7 linked regions of the Daphnia pulex genome follow. The protein of the gene in region 1 interacts with the protein of each later gene in a pairwise test. Links are inferred from orthologs where the notes say so. Each region holds a gene or a part of one and is shown in the gene's direction. Other genes may lie near its edges. The genes, in order: cell cycle checkpoint protein RAD1-like; T-complex protein 1 subunit alpha-like; proteasome subunit beta type-3-like; PAN2-PAN3 deadenylation complex subunit pan3-like; proliferating cell nuclear antigen-like; 3-hydroxyanthranilate 3,4-dioxygenase-like; calreticulin-like.

Region 1 (4,043 bases):
AACGTCAAAATGCCAATGCGCAGGCTCTAACTTCGTAGAGATCGAGGTCAACAATCGATGTCGACATTCTCGATGACCGTAGTGTGACGTTGGGGAAGAAGAAGAAATAAAATAAAAAAGACACGCTCCAACAGAGGCACCTGGCGGGGGCAATTACAGATTCAAAGGCCAGAAAACCAAAAGATTGATGAGCTCATATCCTCCAACACCAAACACAATAGGGAACTGATTCACAACCTTTGGCTCTGCAGAGCTCGAGAAATTCAAGACTGGGGGTGCACGAGCTTCTAAGCAGTCTGATATTATAAAGACTTTGCATGCACAAACTGATGTCAGTATGAGCAATCCTGCTTGTTTCTAGGAGGGAACGGGGACTAGATTAAACTTGTGCAAAGCAATTACCTTGGGTCTGTCGCTCTACAAATAGAGCGGCTTCCAGGAGAATCTCCAAACTCATTGTTGGACAACCACCAGCCGCTGAGTGTTAGACCTGTGGGTCAAGAAGACACAAACAGTTTTAGTCAACAGTGTAACAGCATTGAACAACAACGATGACATCCAGGATCCACATTGCATCAATATCAAATGAAAAAAAAAATAAAAATTCACACAGACGCACGCACACAGGGTCATTCGCTTTTGGGTTTCAGTACTCGTTTCATTTTGGCCTGAGGCTGGCGGCCTTGAATGAGCTCTCTATAGTCTATCAAAAGAAAACTTTTAACAAGAGGAAAATGCCTCTTTGTTTGCTTGCTTTTAATGTCTAAACTAAATGCGACAAGAATTAAATCGGCAAAAGATACTGCATTTAGTCGAAAAACCAAAGTCACTCTGATCGCCAAAGTGACGTTTGAAAACTAACACTACATCACAAGATAATATTATCGAGAAAAACTACGCACTTCAAGCGAGGCACCAGGCTACACGTGTCCCAGCGATGACGTCACCAAAATGGGCGTCACCGATTTTTGCCTTTAGGTTTTCTTGGGGGCGCCGAAGCTACTACTATTGCTGCTTGCCGAGTAGTCTACGTGCCGAATTACTGGGTTATAAATGCCGGTAAATCAAACAATCGAAACTCGATTGCACACATACTTAGCCACAAAAGAATTACACTTCACTTCACGGTTTAAGTCTCAGCACCGAAAAAGACGTTTGGGCTGTTTTTTGTCTTGTATCTGTTATCACGTTGCTCCTCGCACGTGAAAGAGAACTGCTCCCCTTCAACACCGCCAACTAAGGCGGTACCGAACTGAGTACACGCGTCGACCGCTACAACAACGATACTGGCGGCAAGTTTTCTCCCTCGCTCCGAACCATCAACAGCCATCAACTTGGTTCTTTTTTCATTCGTCCTTTACTGCTTTTATGTATTTTTATTTAAAATTTCATCTTTTCATGACTTTTACATTTAAATTCATTTCCCGCTGCCTTAATCAGTTGAAAACTATGTTTGGAAGCCAAAACATTTCTAGGTGGCGCAATGGTCGCATACGACCAATGGGCGTGCTCATTTTCGAATTCCCCATCTCTAAACTGTTGTTTTCTCGCGTTGTACAACGCCGCAATGTTTCTGACTTTCTGTTTAATAATAACAATATTTTCCTGTTTGAATCAATAAGCCGGTAGGCTTTTTCGTCGTCTCGAGATTAAAACTTGAAATTTTTACTTCCATTCCATTGCAGACAGTTTAGCACTTTTTAAATCCAACAAATTTGATTGTGCTGTATAGTTGATTGTGATAAACACAACCAGATTTTGAATTCAGTCAAAACTAGAATAATTCGTCTCGAATCATAGTTCTCTTGGATGTAACAGTTGGGTCGGTTCATTTTTTGTGCAGTACATTTTTCTGTAAAAAATCCTAGCCTTATTAACCAGAACATTTTTTCACTGATCATTTCAGGATGATCCTTTAGGAACCCTTTGCATAATTCTCAAAACTACTCCCACAACATTAAAGAGCAAACGAGTCCCACATTCACCATGCCAAATTTTCCATTTCAAAACACGTCTGGAGACCAAAGTCACATCTTGATGATACGTATGGATAATGCAAAAATTATCTCACATATCCTCAAATCCATAAATTTCAAAGAGGTAAATTCTTCAAGAATTGTAATACAGAGAAAACATGTTTTGTTAGCGATCAAAAGCTAATCCTATTACATCCTTCTTGTGATTTTGCTTTCCTTTCAGAATTCCGTATTTTGCTGTACTAGAGATGGATTAAAAGTCACAGTTGAAGACATGAAAAGTGTCCAGCTAAATGCCTTTATAGAGCCTGGAGTTTTTCAAGTAAAAAGAATTCACAAAAACAATAATTTTCACAAAATTTACTAACTCTTTGAAATTTAGAGTTATGTTATTAAAGAAGATGAGATTAAATTTCAGCTTAATTTAACTGTGCTTCTGGAATGTTTGAATGTATTTGGCTCTAACAACCTTCAAAGTGGCAGCACACCAGCCTTGAAACTCTACTATAACGGCCATGGGACTCCCGTTTCTATCTTGTATGTAAAACTACAAAGAATAATCGTTCTTTATACTTATTTCGAATTATAATTTTTTTTTTTGGCAGGCTGGAAGAATCAGGAGTTATCACTGACTGCAAGATACGTACAGTTCATTTTGATCCTGTCCTGGATTACGATTTTGGGTCGGCTAACGTCATCGGTCGTATCATTATGAGTTCGGAATGTCTTAAAGGTAATTAAGCGTTGAAAGAAGACAGAAATTTCCTAATATAATTATTGTTTTTATAGAGGTGTTTTGTGAGTTGGACTCGACTAGTGATACTGTTCAGTTTTCTTTGTCACCTGATTCGTCAAATTTTCGTATCACAACATTTGGTCATTCAGGAACTTATCATGTAAATCACGTTGTAAAGTTTTTAGTGAAGCGCGTTCTAATTCTAAACGTTTTGGGTTTCAAGGTCGATATTCCGAAAGAGAGCGATGTAATAGAAACTCTTCGTTGTACCTCGGCAGTGTCCTTTAAGTACGAAATAGATACACATACATAATAAGGCGTACACGATGTATTAGCTCAATTTCTGACTTTAGATACAAGCTCTCCTTGATGAAACCATCCATCAAACCCCTTGGAATAGCGCAAAAGGTTTCGCTACGAATCGACGATACGGGGCTCATATGTTTCCAATTCATGATCAAGGTAGAAGACAACCACAACTGTTACATCGATTTTTACGTAAGTTCATTTTTTTTTCCAAGTTCTATCCGTCAAATTACGTTTTACAACCGTCCTCTCCCTTATACACTCTAATAATTGATTTCTTATAGTGCCCTGCGGACGTCGACTTCGACGACGACGAATGAATGCCACGAGAACGAATTATTGACCGCATCACTAAAACGAAAAAAATGCCCTAGAATTATTCTAGAACGAAGATCTTTGAAAACCTTAGAAAAAACTAAAAAGCCAGCAGTTGTCTTTCATGTACAAAGTTTGTTGTTGTTCATATTTCATGATTATCATGAACGACTCCATTAAACCACGCCGGTTGGCAAGCTATTATCCTCGTTCTTGCTTTCCAATGAAAAGGGAGGGATGCGACAGTCAAAGGTGTGCCCATCTTCTCTCTCCATTCGAAACGTTCCCCTGTTCATAAAAAAAATAAATTATTTGAACTTGGCTGTTGTACTCTTTAATAAATAGTGAAAAATAACTTGAAATTACCACATATGCCCTGATGGTGCTTGTAGTGAAATATGGCTGCTATACTGGAACGCTGGTTGTTCGGGTGACAAGACCGGTTCCTTAAGAACGATTTAATGTTACATTCTAATTTTGAACGGTGGTTATTGACGTTAATTACCTGTCCAATTACTCCTCTTCCTCGAACCGTTTCTAGGGTACCCGAAAGACTGAAAATACGCCAGTGCCGTTCACGTAATTGTACAGACAGTTCTCCCAAGTTTTCGAGCCGGATACAGTAACGCCACTGCAAAAGTTAAAAATTACATTTGTAAAAAATTTGATTCACATTACCAATGGAACGAACCCAAAAGACAGTTGAATTT
Region 2 (3,977 bases), on another chromosome or scaffold:
GAACAAAACAACTATGAAAATTTCTCTAATAACGGCTTCTATAAACGACATAAACTTGGTATAAATATTAATGTAGTTAACGGCAAGTGGCTATCCTCATTAAGAAGCATTGCCAAGGATTCCGGGCAGAGGAGGAGCCGGGGCCATTTTCTTTTGCCTGATTCTTCTGTTACATTTCACATCCGTCGAAGTTATATTGTTACTATGTTCATTTAAAAGTTTCTGGTTCGCCTCGACCGTCGAGGAATTTTCAAAACCATTTTCTTCCTCCTCTTCGATCACGGTAGCTTGATGTCTAAATCGAACATTGCGTCTCTTGGCCACAGCTTCTTCGGCAAGCTTCTTGGAGACCAATACAGGTGACGGGATCTTCACATCTGTACTGGGGTCGTCTACAGACGGATGTGGATTCTCTATATCCGGCTGCTGCCGGTTATCCCCACTTCGATCCGTTGGGTCGTTCTCTGCAATACTGTTGTCCCCGATGCACTATAAAAGAGATTCACCACAAACATCCGTTGGTTATTATTGCTATGGGGCATATACAATAAGTAATAATACGTTTGAACAGCAACTTTTAATATTGAATTGCGGGACTTACCAATATACTTTTCTTAATACTGATGGTACCACACAAAAGTCCGAATAGTCCTCGCTGCCTCCTCGGTCCTGCGTCGATGGCTGCCATGGCGAAGAGTCTATCACAATGTTGTATCCGAGTTGAAGTCGATTCACTTTAATGAAGATAGCAAAATAATATTTAGTCATCCATAGACCATCTAGCTAAAGTCGAAAATACTACAACTGTGGTGTTCAAGTTTTGAAAAAATCACCTGAGTTTCAGTTAGCTTACAAAATATCATGCTGATTTATGCCTGACATATCGTGTTCTCGAACCGCGTGCTCTACGTAATGGGCCTCTCGTTCGACTAGCTAATAAATGTCCCGAGGGTCGGATTTTAGTGAATGAAAGGAATCAATGGATGATATTGTAAAAAAAAATGGCAGACGAGCACCTAAATAAATTTACCATAAGATTTTATTTACTAATTTATTTTCTAATTAATCTATGTATTAAATATAGCTGAAAATGATTTCCTAAATTCAAGAATGCTGCATTTACCTGCAAAGCATACCAAATATGAAATGCCCCATGTGACTGCGACGGCGTCGCATTTTAATAGTACTAGCTCGACTTCACTTGTGGCAATAGTCATTTAGCCCAAGAGCCAGAACGTTCTGCCCGTCATCTTTCACGTGCAGCGTGCTCGAACAACGTCAAGAAGTGTGAGCAAAGAAAGGAGCTGATTAATACAGATTTAGTAATAGTCTCATAAAAAAGTACCAAAATGTTCTCCTCAAGTCTGTCTCTTCCTGGAAAACGTACCACGGGCAATTCAGTTCGCACCCAAAATGGTAATTATTTTGTTCTTTGTACCGTGAGTTATAACGCCTAGTGCCGGTACCGGTTGACATTTTATAACACATGTTTTTAATTATCCTAGTTTTGGCTGCAAGTTCTATCGCCAATATTGTCAAAAGCTCTCTTGGCCCTGTGGGACTAGACAAAATGCTGGTCGATGATGTTGGGGTAATGCAAATTGTGATATTTCGACACAAAGGAAAATTTTCTGTAACCTCCCTTTTTTGTTGTTTCAGGATGTCACTATTACTAATGATGGTGCTACTATCCTAAATCTACTTGAAGTTCAGCACCCTGCTGCCAAAGTGTTGGTTGAGCTTGCTCAATTGCAAGACCAAGAAGTTGGAGACGGAACAACCTCAGTGGTTAGTTGCTCGGTACTGGATTGTTTATTTGCTTTCAAAGGTCTAAACTGTTTTTGTTGCAGGTTATTGTTGCAGCTGAGTTGCTGAAAAATGCAGATGAATTGGTTAAACAAAAGATCCATCCTACCTCTGTCATCAGTGGTTATCGTCTGGCTTGCAAGTAAGATCACCTACAAATCTCTTGTTTTGACATGTGATTTGATTTGACAAACATGTGATTGTTTTAAAGGGAGGCAGTGAAGTACATTCAGGACAATTTGACCTTGAGCGTCGAGGAGCTTGGAAAGGACTGTTTGATCAATGCCGCCAAGACATCTATGTCGAGCAAAATCATCAGCGCCGACGCGAACTTCTTCGCCGCCATGTGTGTTGACGCTGCCAATGCTGTCCGCGTTACAGATAACAAAGGGCAAGCTATCTATCCAATCAAGGCGATCAACGTTCTTAAGGCTCATGGCAAAAGTGCTCGGGAAAGCCTTCTCATCACTGGTTACGCCCTCAACTGCTCGGTTGCTTCCCAGGCAATGGTTAAGAAGATCACCAACGCCAAGATTGCATGCCTTGATTTCTCTCTTCAAAAAACCAAAATGAAAATGGGAGTTCAGGTTCTCGTCACAGACCCCGAGAAGCTCGATGCTATCCGTGCTCGAGAATCTGATATTACGAAAGAGAGAATTCAGAAAATCCTCAATGCCGGAGCTAATGTTATTTTGGCTACTGGAGGTATTGACGATTTGTGCCTCAAGGTAAATAGCGTACATATAATCTGAAGTCTAATCGCTAACTGACATTTATTTGTTTATTCAGTATTTCGTAGAAGCAGGTGCCATGGCTGTTCGTCGATGCAAGAAAGCTGACTTGAAGCGTATTGCTAAAGCGACAGGAGCCACTTTACTTTCTTCCATGGCCAATCTCGAAGGTATTACATTATTGATTATTCAACCTTTCAGTGATGTTCGGAACTATATATATTTTATTCTTTAGGTGATGAAAGTTTCGAAGCTTCTTCTATCGGTGAGGCCGCTGAAGTCTCAACGGAGCGCATCTGCGACGACGAGCTCATTATTATCAAAGGGTGAATTATTTGTGGAAGCTAATGTTATCAGAATTAGCATTTGACATATTTATTGTTTTTTTTTTTTAGAACCAAAGCGCGTACTGCTGCATCCATCATTCTTCGTGGTCCCAACGACTTCTACTGTGATGAGATGGAACGCTCGGTGCACGATGCCCTCTGCGTCGTCAAACGTGTTCTAGAATCCAAAACTCTAGTCGTTGGTGGTGGCGCTGTCGAAGTTGCACTCTCTATTTATTTGGAGAGCTTCGCTACTTCATTGGTAAGTGGTACTTTTGAATGCCAAAATTTGATCACATGATTGACTTTTCGTTTTAAAATGCAGAGCTCCCGAGAACAGTTGGCGATTGCCGAGTTTGCTCACTCTCTGTTGGTTATTCCCAAGACCTTGGCAGTCAACGCTGCTAAAGACGCAACTGATCTGGTGGCTAAGATGCGTTCCTACCATCACTCATCGCAGTCAAAGCCTGAGCATGCTAATTTGAAATGGTAAATCATTTTGGATTATCTGTTTTAAAATATTTTATTGATTGCTGTTTCTTTCAAGGATCGGGTTGGACTTGATGGAAGGTGCTGTCAGGGATAACCGTCAAGCCGGTGTCTTTGAGCCCGCTGTCTCAAAGATCAAATCTCTCAAATTCGCTACAGAGGCCGCTATCACCATTCTGCGTATTGATGATATGATCAAGCTTGATTCCGAAGATAAGAACACGCAAAGTTACCAGAACGCGTACCAATGCGGACAGTTAGACGACTAGATGATTGAACAAACAAAATAACTAACGTCATTTTATCAGCTGTTTCTAGTTCTGCGGTCAATCTGAATAAAAATTAAGCTTTTTCCAGAACTAATTGCTTAATAGAAACTATTAAATGAGCTGGTTAGGGTAAGTTAACATTAGCCTTGAAAAGCCCTTTCCATATTTGTTTTTCTATTTAATAATTAACTTGTAGAAGTCACGAATTAGATCTCTTTGCACCCATGGGCGTGGTCACACTCTATGCGAACAGCGGAAAGTGCTACACGTGATTGTTGGACTGAGACGACTATCAGGTAGACTACGTCCAAAAATGGAAAATTGATTGAGTTAAACATAGAAATTCGTTGTTTTAG
Region 3 (2,725 bases), about 3.5 Mb from region 1:
ATGAGAAAATACCTGATGTAATACCGCCAGTTCGTTTAATGCGACAACGTTGTTGTCATTTAATTTAATTGCCGCTTTCAGAGTTTTTAATGCGTCATCGTCGAAATTCATATCCGCACACAGTTTACCAAAAGTGGTATAAAGTTGACTGCTCTTGGGAAATAGTCTACTTACATATTCGCGTTAGCTGTTGTGAATATAATAAATATCATAACTCAAGTAATTTTTATATTGACCTCAATGATAAGCGAAAAACTTCAATAGCGTCTCCAATTTTGTTTTGATGAATAAGGCAAGCGGCAAGCAGTTTATAGACGGCTTTGCTTTTACAAATTCTTAAGGCTTCTCTGCAACTTTCTTCAGCCAAATCATATTGCTTGAGGTTGGCATTGCAGCAAGCTAAGTCATACAGAATTAAAAAATCGGGTTGTTTCGCCAAAAGTTTCGCATGCGTGAGTGCTTCAATCGCTTTTTTGTAGCGACCTTGCGCAATTCTAAAAACACATTTTAAATAAATAATTCAAAATTGTTATCTTGGTTTTGCAGAAACTTACAAACATTTTGCGATTTCTTGTAGCGTTCCGGAATTATTCGGATTTTGAGCATAACACGTTTGAAACAGTTGAATCGCCTCTTGGATTTTTCCCTCCGCATAGTACATTCGTGCCTTCATAATTTATTAAAGAAACAGACATTTAAAAAAATGAGTCTTAGTCTCTTACCATGTCAAGTAAATTATACTAGGATATATGTAGAGAACTCGGTCGGACGATTTCCATTCTTTTTTGACAAATCTTCTATAATTTTCTTACACAATATAAAGTCCCCACGCACAAAATGAAATTCTAGAAGCCAGTTTGTTTTCATGTTACCTATCAATACACTGAAGAATAAGCTGAGTGAAATTATTGTATTTTCTGAGATATAGTATTTGAAAAAGAAAATGTCAACAGCTATTTTTCATAACCAAAATCGAAACCTGAACGCCTGAACCTAGAATTCTTTGTTATGTTTAAGGAATGTCCGTGTTTCTATGGTTACCAAAATGGTAAATTTAAGAGGGAGGAGGGGAAACGTAAGAGAACAAACTTTAACTAACGCTCCAAAATGAAGAAGACGTGTAAATCTAGAAAATTTATAAAGTTATAAAAAATCTTTGGTTGTTTTTGATGATTTTTTTTTAAATTAAAATTTTATCGATGTAGTTGCTCATAAAGTCAATAGATGGATTTTACCGGTTTGCCGTTCGGGATTGTGCGCGCTGCAGTCGTACTGAAGTGACAAGCGAAAATTGAAAAATTTGTGTTCATTACTACCTAACGAAACATTCGGTAGCTGATCATTGAAACTGACAATATGGTAAATCCACTTATTTATTCAAGTTTTTAATGTGTGTGTATGTCTCATTCTTACTTTATTCTTAGTCTATTCTATCATACAATGGTGGATGTGTTCTTGCAATGAAAGGCAAGGGATGCGTGGCAATTGCCTCTGATCGTCGTTTTGGAGTCCAAACTTCCACATTGGCTATGGATTTTCAGAGAATGTTTGAAATGGGTCCCCATCTCTACATTGGTCTTCCTGGCTTAGCAACTGATACTTTGACGGTCCATGAAAGACTTCGCTTCCGTCTCAATCTCTATGAGCTCAGAGAAAGCCGTAAAATCAAACCACAAACATTTTCTGCTATGGTGTCCAATCTTTTGTATGAGAGACGCTTTGGACCTTACTTTGTTGAGCCTGTCATTGCAGGTTAGTTCTTTAATGGCCTCTTGGTTAAAATGTGGTAATTATATTTTATTTTTCTGAATGTCTGTTTTAGGGCTTGATCCGGTTACCTGGGAACCATTTATTTCTGCCATGGATCTTATTGGTTGTCCTAACATGCCTGAAGATTTTGTTGTAGCTGGAACATGTGCTGAACAACTCTTTGGAATGTGTGAAGCCTTGTGGGAACCAAACCTAGAACCTGATGATCTTTTTGAAACCATCAGCCAGGCACTAATGAATGCATTTGATAGAGATGCTATTTCTGGATGGGGAGGTGTTGTTCACATCATGTAAGTTAATTTTTTCATAAATTTGTGTTTTGTGCTAATAATGTTTTCTTTTACAGTGAAAAAGACAAAGTGACAACTAGGATGCTCAAGACCAGGATGGATTGAAATTTTTACTTTCATTATCAATGTATTTTGGAACTGATCATACACCATTTAAAAAATTCAGTTATAGTGTGTATTGTTTGCATCAAGCCAATTACAATGGACAGAAAAGGAAAACAGAAGAATCCAACGTTTTCAAAGACGCTTCAAAAAGAGATACTTGTCGGCAAAAATGTACTCGCACTTTTCTTTTTTTCGTCCAAATTTCCAACCGAAAACTTCCCGTTCAGAAAAACAGTTTACACAATGCTTTCGAAAACACTAATGACGTTCATAGGCAACATGAATTTCACTTTTCATCTTCCTCCTCCTCATCTTCTTCGTCATCTTCATCGTCGTCGAATCCAAAACAATTAGCCACGTCCTTGCTAGTATCCTGAGCTTTAGCAACCTGAGAGCTACGACGAACGCGAGGGGTGGCTTGCATGGAATCTTCAATTTCATCTTTAGAATAAATAAAATTCGATGTAGTAACTTAACGAAATTAACGTAATAACTAGTAGTTTACCATCCAAGGAGGTCATAGTATTTCCTTCTCCTTCCATCAGGGAACCATCCATTTC
Region 4 (4,169 bases), on another chromosome or scaffold:
TGGTGGGGGTTGAAGGAAGGTTGCCATCTTGGATGGGACTTTTCCCAATTTGGTGCAACCACAACCCAAAAGCATTGACGTTGTCCATAAGAAAAGGGTACGAAAAGAAGGACAGTCAAGGAAGGGAAGAATGGAGTGGGAAAGAAAGGGGTCGGTCCCTCTTTTTTTCTCTCTCCCTTTGTCTTTCAATTCGTACACTTTCTTATGGACAATGTCAATGGTTTTTGGTTTGAGGTTGCACCAAACTGGGAAATGTCCCATCCAAGATGGCATCCTCGAACCACTCTATTCCAGGGCAACGCAAAAAGATCAATATTAGTTGGCCATAACTGATCATTCTTTCCAAACACTTCTGGATCCAATATCCAGTCGCTAGCAGTGATAAGGAGATGGGCCACTCTGTGTAAAGTCCAGCAGTCGACATTTTGCCCCCTCCCCCTCTTCAGACGACGAATTCGACTGCGCTGCTCCTTTCGGCGAGCTCCGGAAGCATTTCCCAGTAGTTCTCCCCCTTCAGGACCGCCCCTATCGCAAAGTAAGGCAAAGCTTCCGGAGCTCGAGGAAGCAAAAAGGCCATGCCGCTGACGCAGTTAATTTTGAAATATTGTATTAATTTTAAAATGTGAGAATTACCTGCTGCATTAAGCTGACCAAACTTTATGAGGCCAAAGCAAGCTATCAATACGGCAGTGGTGCAAACAGACAAATACAGTGTTGAAACCAGAGCTATAGATGATGGTAGAACCACTGCCTGTAAAATTTTCCTCTAAAAATTTTTTTCTAAAGTTGCAGCCAATATCGCGAATCGAAAGTGGAAATATGTGCTTACGTATCGATTTAGACCTAATTGTCAGCGCCAGCGGCCATCTACTGAATCTTTTTTAATTTTAGTACTGGAAAAAAAATATGTTTCCCAACACACCCGCTGTGGCTCTGTAACTAAGGTCTCCAGCCAGAACACTTCCAGGAGGAAAAGGCAATGGAAGGCCTTTCCTTATAAATGGTTCTACCATACATCTATAACTCTGCTGAAACGGAAAAAAGTGGTGCCGAACTCGACGAAACTGGGGCGGAAAAAAAGTGGCGAAACTGGTTGCAACCGTCCAACTGCTCAATAAACTTTCAGGCAACCTGCGATCATCGATTTATTATTCCCACGATAGATGTCGTGGTAATAGAAAGTTTTGACGGTTGTGCAGGTCATGGTGCCGGTTGTGCATGAAGTCCATCAAGTACGCCTTCATTTGTGTCCATCATGCTACGACATCTTTCGTGGCACTCGGCTTCAACCAAGCAGTACAGCATCAGTCAGCCAGCAACAGCATGCAGTCAGTATGGTCAAGTAAATGGTACTTTTCGCCCTCTGTTGAATAAAACAACTGCTAATCGTTGAAGTGGTTTGTTGGTTTGTCGAGCTCGACGAATAGGAAATAGGCCTATATTATTTTTCGTAGAAATTACATTCTCTTCATTGTTATAGTCTTCTGTACATTGTAAAGTGTATCAGTGTATATCATTTGCGAATAGTGTTTGACTCTGAGGGGCAGAATCTTAATATTGGTTTGGTCGTTATTGGCCTGGACAGAGAATTGTCTTAAAAAGGTTTATGATGGACGATATAATTAGCCATTCACGTAAGCCTGTTGTGTGTCGCTATTTTGCCGCCTCTGGAACTTGTTTTTATGGAAATGATTGTCAGTTTTTGCACAACTCAGTTTCTCGATCAAGCGTTTCACCTACATTTCCATTGAATTCATTTTCATCTCCAGTTCGCTCAGTCAGTTCCACTGCTTCAAATTCGACAGAGTTTAGTTTGTCAGTTATAGAGAGTAATTGCTTACATCAATCATTTGGGAAGAATGTAAACACAATTCCGTTGTCTAATTCTGCAATTTTAATTAAAGATGAATACGTGCAGAAATCACAAGAGTTACCCATATCACCAGATTTGCAAATAGCTGGAGGTTCTAATTCGTCCCTTTTTGAGGTATGTGTGTTCTGTTCATTGTAATCTATTGTTGTATCTAATAAGTTGTTTTGCACAACTCAGGAAAATGTTGGAGGTACCACTTATTACTACACGCCAGATGAAAATGTGAAACCCACTGTAGAAGAACCAATAATTGGAAAACACAGTCAAATTACTGAAAAAATGTCTCACACTTCTCTTTTAAATAGAAGAATTCAATCACCAAATCAATTGGTCTCAACATCACAAAATCAGATGTACTCAGTTTATAGTGGACCTTCCAGTTTTTTACAGAGCTGTAGTGGTCAGCAGAGATCTTCTTTTTTTATGAATGAAGATATAAGAGCTGACTTACTTCAAAGAAATTCAGTTGCATTATCTATATCAGACCCTGCTTTGTTTCCAGGTATAGCCAACTTATTTCATGTCCTAAGTTTATATTTTATTATTTAAGAAACACTTTATCTGAGCTGTTTGATTGTAGCAATCAATTTTATTACAAACATACATTAACTTTATGAAGTATCTAAATTGCATACATTCTTTTAATTAGATTTGCCAACGGAAGTTGATCACTATCATGAGTTGGTCCCCCTTGAAACCCACACTTTGAATCATGCTGTCAAGTCTAACACTTATGGCTTAATTACATCTACATATAAAGCATCAAATAGCAGAACCGGCATGAGATATTGCTTGAAAAGGATTCATGGTAATATTTAAATGAATAAAAACTTTAAACTGAATCTTCTTACCTAATATATAACCTTACAAAAAAGAAGTATTGAGATTTATTGGAGTATTATTATTGTTTATAATATCTTTAGGTTACAGAGTGACAAGTGCTAAATGTATGTCAATGGTAGAGTTATGGAGGAAAGTGCAGCAGTGTCATTTAGTGACTTTGCGAGAAGCATTCACTACCAAGGCCTTCGGTGACCATTCTATAGTTTTTGCATATGATTATTACCCTGGAGCTGAAACACTTATGACTAAGTATTTGGCTTCGACTGCTCCACACCTTGATCCATTCAGCAGTGACCCATCTGCTCCGCGTCCATATACAATGCAGAAAAACAGAATGCTGCAGCAACAAGCTGGCAAAGGTTGTTTTTGTGTTTTCATTATCATTATTATTTTATTGAGTATTTTATTTTATTTTTGATGCCTCCGCGTTTTTGCAAGGTGTGTTACCTGAATCTTTACTTTGGAGTTACATAATCGAATTGTGCTCGGCGTTGAGATCAGTACATTCTGCTGGTTTGGCTGTAAGAGCATTAGATCCATCTAAAGTACTTATAACTTCAAGAGGCCGTTTGCGTTTGTGCGGTGGTGGAATTTTTGATGTACTTACCTATGACTCTAGTTCTTCCAACATCACAGCTTTGCTTCCTCATTATCAGGTATGTAAAATTTTCCTTTTGTAACATACTTATTGTTATATAGTTGATGTTTAACTGTCATCATTTATGACTAAAAATGAAGCAAGAAGACCTTTTGGCCTTGGGTAAACTTATTCTTGCCCTGGCTTGTAATTCGTTGTTGGCACTTCAAAGGGATAATGTCTCTACATCTATGGATATCATCAATAAAAATTATTCTTCAGATCTGCGCAATTTGGTGATGTGAGTATTTTTTAATATTATATGTAGATACGTTAAAAACTGCAATCTGGGTTAGAACTATCTATACTCTGTAAAACTGCCCACTGAACTATGATTTCGTTAGGTATCTGCTCTCCACTACGCAAGGTTCAAGATCGAAAAACATACAGGAAGTGATGCCAATGATTGGAGCAAGGTTTTTCAGCCAGTTAGAAGCCGCCACTCTGCATGCCGACTATCTAGAAGATCAGCTAGCCAGAGAATTGGATAATGGCCGGTTATTTCGTTTGCTTGGAAAATTGGGAACCGTTGTTGATCGTCCAGAGTAAGGCAAATTAAATTGGTTAAGTTAGTCTAGTTACCTATCGAAGTAAACTTTATTGAATGTTTAAGGTTAAATTTGGATTCGACATGGTCAGAAACGGGAGACCGATATTTGCTTAAATTATTTCGCGACTACATGTTACATCCTTGTACGGATGATGGACGACCATGGGTCGATTTGGCCCACATTGTCGCATGTCTCAATCGACTAGATACTGCTTCTCATGACAAAGTAAGGACTTCATAATTTGAGAAAGAATTGAAGTGTATTA
Region 5 (2,949 bases), on another chromosome or scaffold:
ATCTTTCACCTCGTGAGTTAGGAAGCCAACCAATTAACGGCAATTTTTGCTTTCATCTGTACGAGCGCCAACTTTCTTCGGAAGGAATCGAATTAAACCTGAACATTAGTGATATTGTGCTGAAAACTTTCACCAATTCATCGAAAAATATTGCTATCGGTGGCGCTTCAAAGCCTGTTGATTGTTTCTCAAAATATCGCGTCAATATCGTCGTTCCCTACAGGCGACGTCCAGAACAACTACGTGTCTTCCTTCATTATTTGCATCGGTATTTACAGTTACAGGAAATCGACTACCGGATTATCGTCGTCGAACAAAGCCCGGAAATGCAATTCAATCGTGGAAAGCTATTTAACGTTGGATTTGTTGAGAGCCAGAAACGTTTTCCATCCGATTGCTACATATTCCATGACGTAATTTGTTTCTCATGAATTATTGGATCACCGAGAGATATATTTGTTTTCATAGGTCGATCTCATTCCCTTGAGCCTGAATAATATCTATGCCTGCACAAAGATGCCTCGCCATTTGTCCTCAGCTGTAGATACCTTCGATTATGAGCTACCTTATTGTGGAATCTTTGGCGGGTAAAGTTTGAATTTAATTTTATCTATTTTTCTGCATTTCATCATGCTCCCTGTTTTTTTTTTTTTTTTTTTTTTTCTGTAGTGCTGTGGCAATGACAACTCAACATTTCCAAAGTATCAACGGGTTTTCCAACTTGTTTTATGGATGGGGAGGAGAGGATGATGACCTTTACTTTCGTGTGTCTCAAGCTGAACTTGGCGTGGTACGATTTGAAAAAAATGTTGCGAAATATAAAATGCTTAGACACGAAAAAGAGGTTCCCAATCCTAACCGCTTTGTAACCATGAAAAAGAACAAAATTATTCATGCCGCCGAGGGTTTAAATAGCCTGAATTACACTATGTTGTCTTATGAGTTGAAATCATTGTATACGTTGATGCGTGTCCACCTGTAAATGAGCTAATTATTTGATCAATTGTAAAATAATTTCCCATGTATTACTCCTCGATTCGAGACTTTGTATTGTAATAGATTTGTGTTAAGTATTCCTGGAATTCAACATTTTTCTGTTAAAGTAACTAGTTTCAAAATCTCTATGACACTCACATATCCTTTAGTATTAGCCATTGTGTGCATCATTGCCACTGTCACTAGATCTGGAAACAGACAAAAGATTCGAATTTTTCCCTCCAACCTTGAGGCATTTATATATCACATGATCAAAATCGTCCAATCAGAATCGTGCGTCAGATGGCGATGATTTTGCCGCGAAAACCACGGCGGCAGTCTGCACTCAGTCATTGTTGAGTACTTGGAAGCGTTGAGTTGAGCGTACACATTCCTGCTACGTCATTTGCTGCTTCATCGTTGTTACTACGTGTTTCATTGTCAATTCTTATTTACATCATTTTATCATCATCATGTTTGAGGCACGTCTTCTTCAGGGTTCTTTGTTGAAGAAAGTTATGGAAGCATTGAAGGATTTGTTGAACGAAGCAGCCTGGGATTGTTCTGATGCCGGTATCCAACTCCAAGCCATGGACAATTCCCATGTCAGCCTCGTCTCTCTCAATCTGAGAGCTGAGGGATTTGACAAGTACAGATGTGATCGTAACTTGTCAATGGGCATGAATTTGGGAAGGTATGATTCATAACAAAATTGTATTTAACGAAAATTTCTTAACAGTCTGTTGATTTTACAGCATGTCCAAGATCCTTAAGTGTGCTTCCAATGAAGATATCATTACGATCAAAGCCCAGGACAATGCTGATACTGTTACATTTGTCTTCGAGTCCCCAGAGCAAGATAAAGTTTCAGACTATGAGATGAAGCTGATGAACCTTGATCAGGAACATTTGGGCATCCCTGTAATTGAGCTTTAATTTCTACTTTATTTCCCCTAATAGCAAACTGGTTTATAATTCCATATTTTTTTTTTTTTTTAGGAAACTGACTATGCATGCACCATTAGGCTGCCATCTAGTGAATTTGCCAGAATTTGCAGAGACTTGAGTCAATTTGGAGAATCTATGGTCATTTCCTGCACCAAAGAGGGTGTAAGGTTTTCAGCAACAGGAGATATTGGTACTGGCAACATCAAGCTTGCCCAGTCTGCCAAGGTTGACAAAGAAGAAGAGGCTGTCGTCATTGAGATGCAGGAGCCCGTCTCTTTGACATTTGCTTGCCGATACCTCAACTCTTTCACGAAAGCCACCTCCCTTTCGAAATCCGTTCAGCTTTCTATGTCCCCTGAAGTTCCCCTGGTCGTCGAGTATAAAATCGAAGATATCGGCCACGTCCGTTATTACCTAGCCCCTAAAATTGAAGACGAAGAAGCTGCCTAATTTTTGTATAAGATCACCACTGGCGCACCTAAGTTCTATGATGTCATTAAAAATCATACACTTTTTGTATTCCTAATTTCCGTGTTGTCTTAACTAATTTTCGTTTCAGGCTTTTATTGAAGCCATTCATTATAGCAACACGGTCTCCGCGTCTGCGAGCGGTGTCCAGAAGATATTCTGCCCCACTCATTACCTATTGCCAAGTTCAGTAAATAAGCGAAGTTCGATTTACAGTTTGACGAGTCCATTGTAGCGAGTTACTAAATTAATCTATCGTTAAAATTCTGAATTTTAGGAGGTAAGGTTAAAAATTAAAAACAAAACAACATTTCATTTTGTATTTTCTGGACTTGTTCTTTTTGCGATAAACATGATAATCATTGGTAGGAGCTCTTACCAATATTTAAAAAAAAAAGAACGTGAGACTTGCTGAAAAGTGAAATAATAGAGTGATGACACTATTTCATTCGGCAGCAGCAATGTCGAGCTCCTAGATCGAAGCATCGGAAATTGAGGGTTATTATTCATCGAAGAAGGAATATAGAAAGGACTGCAAACATTGACATTTTACAGTTG
Region 6 (3,202 bases), on another chromosome or scaffold:
AAGTGCACCAGGATCGACGATGTACTGTTCACGAACAATTTTAGGTTATACAAATTATTCAGTTTAGTATTTAACTGTTTTGAGATCACCTGGATTTGGTAGGACACGTCAATAATCCCGCAAAATGGTAGGGTAGATGGAGGAAGTTGAGGAACAAGGAATTGCGCCTCCATAATGTCAGCCTCAGTAAAACGTTCATGGCTGTAGACTTGTAGGACTTTGGTGTCTGAATTCGTTTCCCCCGCGGCAATGAACTTGGTAATCTGACAAAAATTAAGACAAATTTTAATTAAAATGTACGAATAGTTTTTTTAACCTAAGGGCGTACCTGGATAAATTGCGCTTTAGAACCTCTAAGGGATATTCCACTTTCATTATCTGTGTCTGCTTTCAATAAGATCGTCTCTCCCGGAGTGTATCCAGCACGTTCGATCTTTGCATGCGCTGTAATGGGATTAGAGGTGCAACAAAAACATCCAAGTCTTTTTGATTTCATCTTTTTGACCGGTAGCTAGAGACAGAGGAAATGTTACTTATACTTTTGATCCAAATGTCAATGTTTTTCATACCACAGCCGCTGGCAACGTATTGAGATCGACGATGGAACCGACGATGAGACTAGTCTGGCATGCGTAGTCGCGTTTGAGCCACGGACGTTGAGCGACAGAACGGATAGTGTAGCGAATATGCCCAAAAGATCCTTCGAACGATGGGGGAATTTGTGTTGGTAGAACAAAAGTGAATGGATATTGATGACGACCGACGCTCAGCTCGATAACCTGGTTGCCTATATTTAATAAGACGTGAATAATACAATTCAACTTGTCAACAAATGACCAAATGTTTTACCAGGATTGTAGAGGCAGAACTTGAAATCGAAATACTGTTCATTTGAGCAGCGAAATTCCGTGTTCTTGTCATTTTTCACGGGAATACGAACCTCTGCCAAGCCGCTGCATTCGATTTGAATTCCTACCGACATTTTTCATTCGACAAAATGTTGACACAAATTTTGTAACAATTAATTTACCTTTCAGACTTTCGACTTTGCTGTTGGTAACGTGCACAGTTCCATTCACCGATTGTCCTGGATAGAAAATTCCATTGCGATTCTCAATCACGATTTCAAAACGTCCGAACCCCATGACTGCTAATGACTTACTCAGTCGAATTTCTATGGTTATAAGTCGACGTCGACGTTACAACGTTTGCCAATCGACAAATTATCTTATTTTTCATTAGAAATTTCAAATACCCGCGCATTTTGAAGGTGTCCGTACATGGATGAAGCAAAAAGTCCTTGGGCTATTGTTCCGTTATACATTTTTCTCATCTTAACCTTGACGATGTTTATGGAGAAAAACCTTTTCAGGGCCGCCGTTTCTGCCAAGGGAAAATTTTGTTTTTGGAAAAGCGTCTTAGTCGTTTCTTAGCACACAGCCGGGCAGAGTGTGTGCAGTAAGTTGTTCAAAATGAGCATTCAATTGTGCAACATTAATCAATGGATTGAAGACAACAAAGCTTCTTTCTTACCACCTGTTTGCAACAAACTCATGTGAGTAAATCAAAGTATTTTTACAAATCATCTTTTTATTGACTGTCAAATTTTATTTAATAGGCATGAGAAACAGTTGAAAGTCTTCTTTGTCGGAGGGCCCAATCAGCGTAAAGATTTCCATATTGAAGAAGGTGAAGAGTTATTCTACATGAAAAAGGGTTCGATGGAGTTGATTGTTCAGGAACAAGGAGCTTTCAAAACGGTTGCCATTCAAGAAGGGCAAGTAAGTGAAATTATTTCATATGTTTTCTATTTTTCTGTTAATGTATTTGTAATTTTTTGTAAGGTATTTTTACTTCCGGGAAAGATTCCGCATTCGCCTCAGAGGAAAGATGACACGATCGGGTTGGTAGTCGAGAGAGAAAGAGCGAAACAAGAATTGGATTGCCTCAGGTAAAATCTGTAATCAAAATATTTCTCTAGAAGGATTAATATTTTTAAGTGAATATTATTGTAGGTATTTTGTAAACGATTCGACCGAGTCGCTGTTTGAGAGGTGGTTTTATTGCGACGATCTTGGAGTTCAACTTGTTCCAGTCATCAAAGAGTTTTTCGCCTCGGAGCAATGCAAAACAGGACGTCCTGTACCGGGAACGATTCCGGAGAATCCTCATTTTCATCCAGATGGCCAACTCCAATTGGAAAATCCTTTCAACTTGAAAGAGTGGCTCCAATCTTATGGCACTGAAATCCACCAAAATGGCAAGAAGAATTTGTTTGATGGCGCCAAATACAAATCGGACGTCATTATTTATGGCAAAGGAGTCGATGAGTTTAAAGCGATTCAACATGAAATTTGGTTGTGGCAATTGGTAAATTATCGTAAAATTGATTTTTAATTCATTCTCTAATGAAATTTTACGTCATTTCAACAGGAAGGTGAATCCGTTGTGAAATTAAACGGACAAGACATTACCCTCAAATCCGACGATAGTCTTTTGATTCCGGCTGGAGAAGAGTACCAATTGATGCGTGATGCCGATTCGTGTTTCCTTATGTCAGTAGCCATGCCCACGCCAAATGGAAATATTTAATGCCAAACAACCAACACAGTCAGTATATTGAAAGGTAGTTTTTTTAGTAGGGACTAACTATATACTAAATGTATTAGTAAAGCAATAAATATCAAATGCATTTCATTAAACAATGGATTTGTTTTATGGTTTAAATATGGCCTTAAATATGCGTTTGAATTGCAGCAGTGTATGGCATTGTGGTTATCAGCCTCGCCTTATGAGGAGATTGTCATTGGTTCAAGCCCATTAAATTCCACATCTTGTAAGTTTATGAATTTGGGTCTCATAGTACAAAGGGCGTACTCTACTATGTGTACCTCCTCCCCATATATGAGAAATATTAATTTCAACCAATTACTTAAATACTGAATTCATTACCTAATGTGAAAGAAGAAAACTGATTGGTTGAACATTTTAGTTCACGATTTTTCTCAATTTGGCAATTCGTTCTTAAATAAAACCGACCCCGTCCTGCTAATATCAATTAGCAACCCGATCTATTGAAAGTTTTTGTTTTTTTACAAGCAATGAGACGCAGTGTTAATGTGAGTGTTGACTTTGGTTTTAATATTCGAAATTCAAAGACCAAGTATGGTATTGGTGCTGTTGCAGCACAGGTAATTTAAAA
Region 7 (4,276 bases), on another chromosome or scaffold:
GTACCCATTTTTTCTCGTTTTCCAAACACACACTTCCCTGAGTAGCCACAGTGAAAACATCATCGGTCTCATATTATCGTTTATCTGCGATTACTTAGGGTTAAATTGGCACGACGTAGTAGGTCCGCAATATCAAAAGTTGAGCATTCCGTGCATTGATTATTTGGCAGGAAAAAGTTTATATTAGTTGTTAAAGAAAGAATGCATTCGTTTTTGCGTTTTTCTCGGTTGTTGTGCGTTATCGTCCTCTCCCCTTCTGAATGTTGTTGCACGTGAAAATCACCTCAATTTCCCTAATTGCTATTCGAAGACGAATTGGCAGCAAACAAAACCTTATTATGTATATAATTAAAAATTAATTGGTGTTCACACATGGCAGGATAAGAATAAGGAAAAAGAAAACCGGACTTAGAAGCGCGACCTCACAAAAATAACATCGATATACAAAAAAAAAGAAAAAATATTTGGTCCATTTTGCAGTGTTTCCTCCCCTCCCCCTTTTAATACCAAATTCTCATGATTGCAAAACCCCAAATTTACATGTAATCTTCTAATTAATTGTCCTCTCTCTCTCTCTTTTTCTCTCTTTTTGATTGTAACATTATTATTCTATGTGTGTTTTCTCGGTTGTTAAACGGTTCGTTTTTTATTATCCCCCCCTTTCGTCGGATATGATGTTTTCATGAATATACGGTTGTATAAGCGTTACGATTGCTTGTGGTTGATTACGTGTCGATTTTGGTCACTTGTCTACGTAGTAAGAATCCCCTCCAATTGGGATGTAACGCGCGTCTTATCCCTCGGTACGTGGTCCAATCTAATCGCAAGACAACACCCCCCGAGCTATACGTCACATGGCTGTATGAACATGTGGGAATATATGGTATCCCAACTTTTATTGAAAGGGAGAATCGGAGAGATATTCTATTTACGACACGTCATCGATATTGAGATTCCATATGGGCATGTCAGATTACCAATTTTGATTACCTGAAAATGCATACAGGAAATGCTTGTCAAACTCAATATAACAATATCAGGATTGTTTAATAGTCCACAGAAAAGAATTTGGCCGTGAATGAAAAAAATGCGCATTAACAATAGAATACATAAAGTTCATGAGAATTAAATTAAAACGCGTTTTCATAGATGACCGGATAATACGAAAACTGGAATAAACGTGGAAAATTGAACGCCTGCCAGACGGCGCAATTTGATTGGTACACGACAGTCACGTGACGGCCAGAGAAAAACGTGAGTTCGTGAATGAGATGAGCAACTCTCTAGAAGATTCTACCCCGATGATTTGCGCGCCACCTAACGATGAGCTCTCGGTAGCCTGGGGAATCTTCCCGGGCCTTCATATGCAACACCGGCTAGTAGCCCCTCTATCGCTAGGTAGCAGGTCGATCGGATACCACCCACCAAGTGGCTCATCTCTCTGGCTCTAGTGTGACAAACCGACCAATGAGAGCATTACGGGTGTTATCCACCTTCCCATTCCCTTTCCGTAAAAACTTCTCCTGAGTAAAGGAGAGTCATCACGTCAGTTTGTCTCACTCGTCTGTCCTGGTCACTCGTTCATCGTCTTCAATCACATTCATTTGTACAAATGAAAGCTTTAGCATTATTAATCGCCTTGATCGGCGTTGTTGCGGCCGAAGTCTTCCTCGACGAGCGATTCTCAGATGGAGGTAAGAAAAAGATTCATAAAGTATTTCCCTTTTTTCCCGATATCTGGTTGATGGTGGAGAGGGTTACTTGTCAAGGGTAGCAGGGGAGTCTTTTTCTAGAAATTTCGTCAGCTTACAACAGGAGGCTGTGTAACACGTAAAACAAATATTCTAGCTATTTTTAACATATCTGCCATTTTCACACGCAAGCACTTTGCATGCCAAAGCCAAATGCTTGATATCGTTGTAATGCACGAATTATTTGGACGTGGCAATATGAATTTCACTTTTAATGCCACTAAAAAAGAGTTTAATTACAATCAAGTTGATCATCTGTTTTCATCGCTGCCATGCGGAATTAAAACGACGTGAACGAGAGTTTGCGGACGACAAAAAAATTTGAAGGTTAAAAATAATTAGAAAACGATCCTAACATTTTCCGATTAGTAACAAGAGAAATAGAAATTATGATAAAAGCCAAGTGAACTAGAGATAACAGGAAAAAGTTCTTCACCTTCAAACTGAAGTTGATGACGTTTAGCGTGCCACGACCTCTACCCGGCTTTTTCGATTTGTCGAGTTCATGTGTGGCATTTGGTGACGTGTACGTCTTATCTTGTTCTTTTCAGCTGCCTGGGAGAAAAGGTGGATCCAGTCGACCAACAAAGGTGAAACAGCAGGCAAATTTGTTCTCACTCACGGCAAATTCTACGGTGATGCTGAAAAAGATTTGGGTAAGGATTAATCTGGATTTTATAAATTATTTTGGATGATAGTTGATGACATGAATTGCTCTTAATAGGTATCCAGACTTCCCAAGATGCCAGGTTTTATGGCCTTTCCACTAAGTTCAAGCCCTTCAGCAACAAGGATAAGCCACTAGTCCTCCAATTCACCGTCAAACATGAACAAAACATTGACTGTGGAGGTGGCTATGTCAAGCTGTTTGACTGCAGTTTGCAGCAAGATGATATGCATGGAGACTCTCCATACCTTATCATGTTTGGTAAGTTTTATTAATAGTTTGTTGATATAGTAGCTGAAATAACCCCCAAATCCTGTCACAGGCCCTGACATTTGCGGTCCCTCCAACAAGAAAGTCCACGTCATCTTCAACTACAAGGGAAAGAACCATCTCATCAAGAAAGAGATCAGACCCAAGGATGATGTTTACACTCACTTGTACACACTCATCGTTAAGCCAGATCAGACCTACGAAGTAAGTCCATTATTAATTGCTCACCTTTCACACTGTTTATTCATTGGACTGTTTGTCTTCTTCCACAGGTTTTGATTGATAACGAGAAAGTTGAGTCTGGTGATTTGGAAAGTGACTGGGATTTCCTGCCTGCCAAGACCATCAAAGACCCCGAAGCCAAGAAACCCGAAGATTGGGATGACCGTGCCAAGATCGATGATCCTGAAGATGTCAAGCCCGCCGACTGGGATGTTCCTGAACACATTGCCGACCCCGAGGCCAAGAAGCCCGAAGATTGGGATGATGAGATGGATGGTGAATGGGAGCCTGCTATGATCGACAACCCTGCCTTCAAGGGAGAGTGGAAACCCAAGCAGATCGACAACCCCGCTTACAAAGTATGTATAACTATTTAAAAATGTTGATGGGAGGCTTTGTCTTTATAAAACTTTTTTGCTTAATCGCAGGGTGTCTGGGTCCACCCAGAAATCGATAACCCCGAGTACGCCCCCGATGCCACCATTGGTAAATACGACGAATCCTGCATCATTGGTTTCGATTTGTGGCAAGTAAAGGCTGGCACCATCTTCGACAATGTCCTCGTCACCGACGATGTTGCGGAAGCCAAAAAGGTAATAATACAAATTAGACTTTTAATGGTTGTTTGTACAGAAAGTAATTCTAAATTTTTCATTAGATTGGTGATGAGCTGTGGACTGCCACCAGCAAAGCCGAGAAGAAAATGAAGGAAGCTCAGGAAGAGGAAGAACGGAAGAAGATGGAAGAAGAGGCCAAGTCAAAGAAAGAAGACAACGAGGATGAAGATGACGAAGATGAAGACGATGCCGAGCCCAGCAAACCTGCTGCACCCGCTGAAGAAGCCGAAGCCGACAACGCAGACCACGATGAGTTGTAAAATGCAAAAATAACAAACACACACAAGGAAGAGCTGACAGAAAACTTAGGTTCCACCAAAAAAAAAACAATACAACAAAAAAATTTATATAATTTAATCAGCTGTTCCATCTTTATATCGGCGGTTAATAAGTTGTCACAATTCAACAGAGGTATTAAAATCTGATGCATCTCGGTTCCAATAATCTTTAAAAAAACAAAAAAGCTGAGGAATTCTAGCTCAAGACAAAAAAATAATTTTGGAACTGAAATTGAAAAAGAATTTAGACTGTTATATTGCTTCCCGTTTCTTTGTAGTCTTGTTTTTTTTTCTCTCCCCCCTCATACGGTGTTGTTTTGTAATTCGTCTATTTGAATGAAGGTTTTTTTTTTTCAATTTAAACCATGGCGTCACATCATCCCTCTTTTTATACAAAATGAGCTCGAGGCGCCCGTTTAATTCCTACTTTTTTTTAAATACATTGCCGATTCCCCTATCTGGGGAGTGAGT

The links.
Region 2: the proteins of cell cycle checkpoint protein RAD1-like (region 1) and T-complex protein 1 subunit alpha-like interact in a two-hybrid assay, tested with the Caenorhabditis elegans proteins (2 studies listed by BioGRID). The link is inferred for Daphnia pulex from reciprocal best matches to the Caenorhabditis elegans genes mrt-2 and cct-1.
Region 3: the proteins of cell cycle checkpoint protein RAD1-like (region 1) and proteasome subunit beta type-3-like interact in a two-hybrid assay, tested with the Caenorhabditis elegans proteins (2 studies listed by BioGRID). The link is inferred for Daphnia pulex from reciprocal best matches to the Caenorhabditis elegans genes mrt-2 and pbs-3.
Region 4: the proteins of cell cycle checkpoint protein RAD1-like (region 1) and PAN2-PAN3 deadenylation complex subunit pan3-like interact in a two-hybrid assay, tested with the Caenorhabditis elegans proteins (2 studies listed by BioGRID). The link is inferred for Daphnia pulex from reciprocal best matches to the Caenorhabditis elegans genes mrt-2 and panl-3.
Region 5: the proteins of cell cycle checkpoint protein RAD1-like (region 1) and proliferating cell nuclear antigen-like interact in binary tests that used the Caenorhabditis elegans proteins (3 or more experiments, as listed by UniProt). The link is inferred for Daphnia pulex from reciprocal best matches to the Caenorhabditis elegans genes mrt-2 and pcn-1.
Region 6: the proteins of cell cycle checkpoint protein RAD1-like (region 1) and 3-hydroxyanthranilate 3,4-dioxygenase-like interact in a two-hybrid assay, tested with the Caenorhabditis elegans proteins (2 studies listed by BioGRID). The link is inferred for Daphnia pulex from reciprocal best matches to the Caenorhabditis elegans genes mrt-2 and haao-1.
Region 7: the proteins of cell cycle checkpoint protein RAD1-like (region 1) and calreticulin-like interact in a two-hybrid assay, tested with the Caenorhabditis elegans proteins (2 studies listed by BioGRID). The link is inferred for Daphnia pulex from reciprocal best matches to the Caenorhabditis elegans genes mrt-2 and crt-1.

Annotation. Positions count from the first base shown.
Region 1 is NC_060028.1:2,685,039-2,689,081, forward strand, and holds cell cycle checkpoint protein RAD1-like, read left to right. Parts: upstream 1-1,243; 5' UTR 1,244-1,370; exon of another isoform or gene 1,371-1,822; intron 1,823-1,881; exon of another isoform or gene 1,882-1,906; 5' UTR 1,907-1,986; coding exon 1,987-2,100; intron 2,101-2,199; coding exon 2,200-2,298; intron 2,299-2,358; coding exon 2,359-2,513; intron 2,514-2,581; coding exon 2,582-2,709; intron 2,710-2,765; coding exon 2,766-2,872; intron 2,873-2,935; coding exon 2,936-3,000; intron 3,001-3,025; exon of another isoform or gene 3,026-3,065; coding exon 3,066-3,285; 3' UTR 3,286-3,302; coding exon of another isoform or gene 3,303-3,338; 3' UTR 3,339-3,509; coding exon of another isoform or gene 3,510-3,621; 3' UTR 3,622-3,654; downstream 3,655-4,043. Other genes in the region: polymerase delta-interacting protein 2-like, read right to left, coding at 3,510-3,621, 3,700-3,779, 3,839-3,964, 4,025-4,043. UniProt on the Caenorhabditis elegans protein: May be a component of the 9-1-1 cell-cycle checkpoint response complex that plays a major role in DNA repair. Promotes DNA double strand break-induced cell cycle arrest and apoptosis, thereby playing a role in genome stability.
Region 2 is NC_060022.1:2,033,944-2,037,920, reverse strand, and holds the start of T-complex protein 1 subunit alpha-like, read left to right. Parts: upstream 1-1,177; 5' UTR 1,178-1,349; coding exon 1,350-1,416; intron 1,417-1,505; coding exon 1,506-1,591; intron 1,592-1,659; coding exon 1,660-1,788; intron 1,789-1,850; coding exon 1,851-1,948; intron 1,949-2,017; coding exon 2,018-2,534; intron 2,535-2,595; coding exon 2,596-2,707; intron 2,708-2,772; coding exon 2,773-2,863; intron 2,864-2,932; coding exon 2,933-3,125; intron 3,126-3,188; coding exon 3,189-3,352; intron 3,353-3,410; coding exon 3,411-3,621; 3' UTR 3,622-3,977. Other genes in the region: uncharacterized protein LOC124195433, read right to left, coding at 100-489, 602-734, 854-882. UniProt on the Caenorhabditis elegans protein: Molecular chaperone; assists the folding of proteins upon ATP hydrolysis. Known to play a role, in vitro, in the folding of actin and tubulin.
Region 3 is NC_060028.1:6,178,896-6,181,620, reverse strand, and holds proteasome subunit beta type-3-like, read left to right. Parts: upstream 1-1,225; 5' UTR 1,226-1,356; coding exon 1,357-1,359; intron 1,360-1,424; coding exon 1,425-1,752; intron 1,753-1,822; coding exon 1,823-2,060; intron 2,061-2,116; coding exon 2,117-2,165; 3' UTR 2,166-2,225; downstream 2,226-2,725. Other genes in the region: Bardet-Biedl syndrome 4 protein-like, read right to left, coding at 13-166, 237-494, 555-667, 742-867; transcriptional repressor CTCFL-like, read right to left, coding at 2,452-2,606, 2,671-2,725. UniProt on the Caenorhabditis elegans protein: Non-catalytic component of the proteasome, a multicatalytic proteinase complex which is characterized by its ability to cleave peptides with Arg, Phe, Tyr, Leu, and Glu adjacent to the leaving group at neutral or slightly basic pH.
Region 4 is NC_060025.1:5,199,312-5,203,480, reverse strand, and holds the start of PAN2-PAN3 deadenylation complex subunit pan3-like, read left to right. Parts: upstream 1-1,369; 5' UTR 1,370-1,606; coding exon 1,607-1,987; intron 1,988-2,050; coding exon 2,051-2,375; intron 2,376-2,522; coding exon 2,523-2,681; intron 2,682-2,796; coding exon 2,797-3,075; intron 3,076-3,154; coding exon 3,155-3,372; intron 3,373-3,454; coding exon 3,455-3,594; intron 3,595-3,697; coding exon 3,698-3,898; intron 3,899-3,966; coding exon 3,967-4,129; intron 4,130-4,169. UniProt on the Caenorhabditis elegans protein: Regulatory subunit of the poly(A)-nuclease (PAN) deadenylation complex, one of two cytoplasmic mRNA deadenylases involved in general and miRNA-mediated mRNA turnover.
Region 5 is NC_060019.1:11,504,121-11,507,069, reverse strand, and holds proliferating cell nuclear antigen-like, read left to right. Parts: upstream 1-1,316; 5' UTR 1,317-1,448; coding exon 1,449-1,669; intron 1,670-1,730; coding exon 1,731-1,896; intron 1,897-1,974; coding exon 1,975-2,373; 3' UTR 2,374-2,449; downstream 2,450-2,949. Other genes in the region: beta-1,4-N-acetylgalactosaminyltransferase bre-4-like, read left to right, coding at 22-413, 469-587, 670-982. UniProt on the Caenorhabditis elegans protein: This protein is an auxiliary protein of DNA polymerase delta and is involved in the control of eukaryotic DNA replication by increasing the polymerase's processibility during elongation of the leading strand.
Region 6 is NC_060026.1:16,211,941-16,215,142, reverse strand, and holds 3-hydroxyanthranilate 3,4-dioxygenase-like, read left to right. Parts: upstream 1-1,185; 5' UTR 1,186-1,472; coding exon 1,473-1,555; intron 1,556-1,618; coding exon 1,619-1,781; intron 1,782-1,844; coding exon 1,845-1,951; intron 1,952-2,015; coding exon 2,016-2,370; intron 2,371-2,433; coding exon 2,434-2,592; 3' UTR 2,593-2,702; downstream 2,703-3,202. Other genes in the region: arrestin domain-containing protein 17-like, read right to left, coding at 1-24, 90-263, 329-511, 570-787, 850-972, 1,031-1,145. UniProt on the Caenorhabditis elegans protein: Catalyzes the oxidative ring opening of 3-hydroxyanthranilate to 2-amino-3-carboxymuconate semialdehyde, which spontaneously cyclizes to quinolinate.
Region 7 is NC_060026.1:14,047,033-14,051,308, reverse strand, and holds calreticulin-like, read left to right. Parts: upstream 1-1,476; 5' UTR 1,477-1,612; coding exon 1,613-1,694; intron 1,695-2,302; coding exon 2,303-2,407; intron 2,408-2,475; coding exon 2,476-2,679; intron 2,680-2,740; coding exon 2,741-2,892; intron 2,893-2,960; coding exon 2,961-3,269; intron 3,270-3,338; coding exon 3,339-3,503; intron 3,504-3,568; coding exon 3,569-3,787; 3' UTR 3,788-3,884; downstream 3,885-4,276. UniProt on the Caenorhabditis elegans protein: Molecular calcium-binding chaperone promoting folding, oligomeric assembly and quality control in the endoplasmic reticulum (ER) via the calreticulin/calnexin cycle.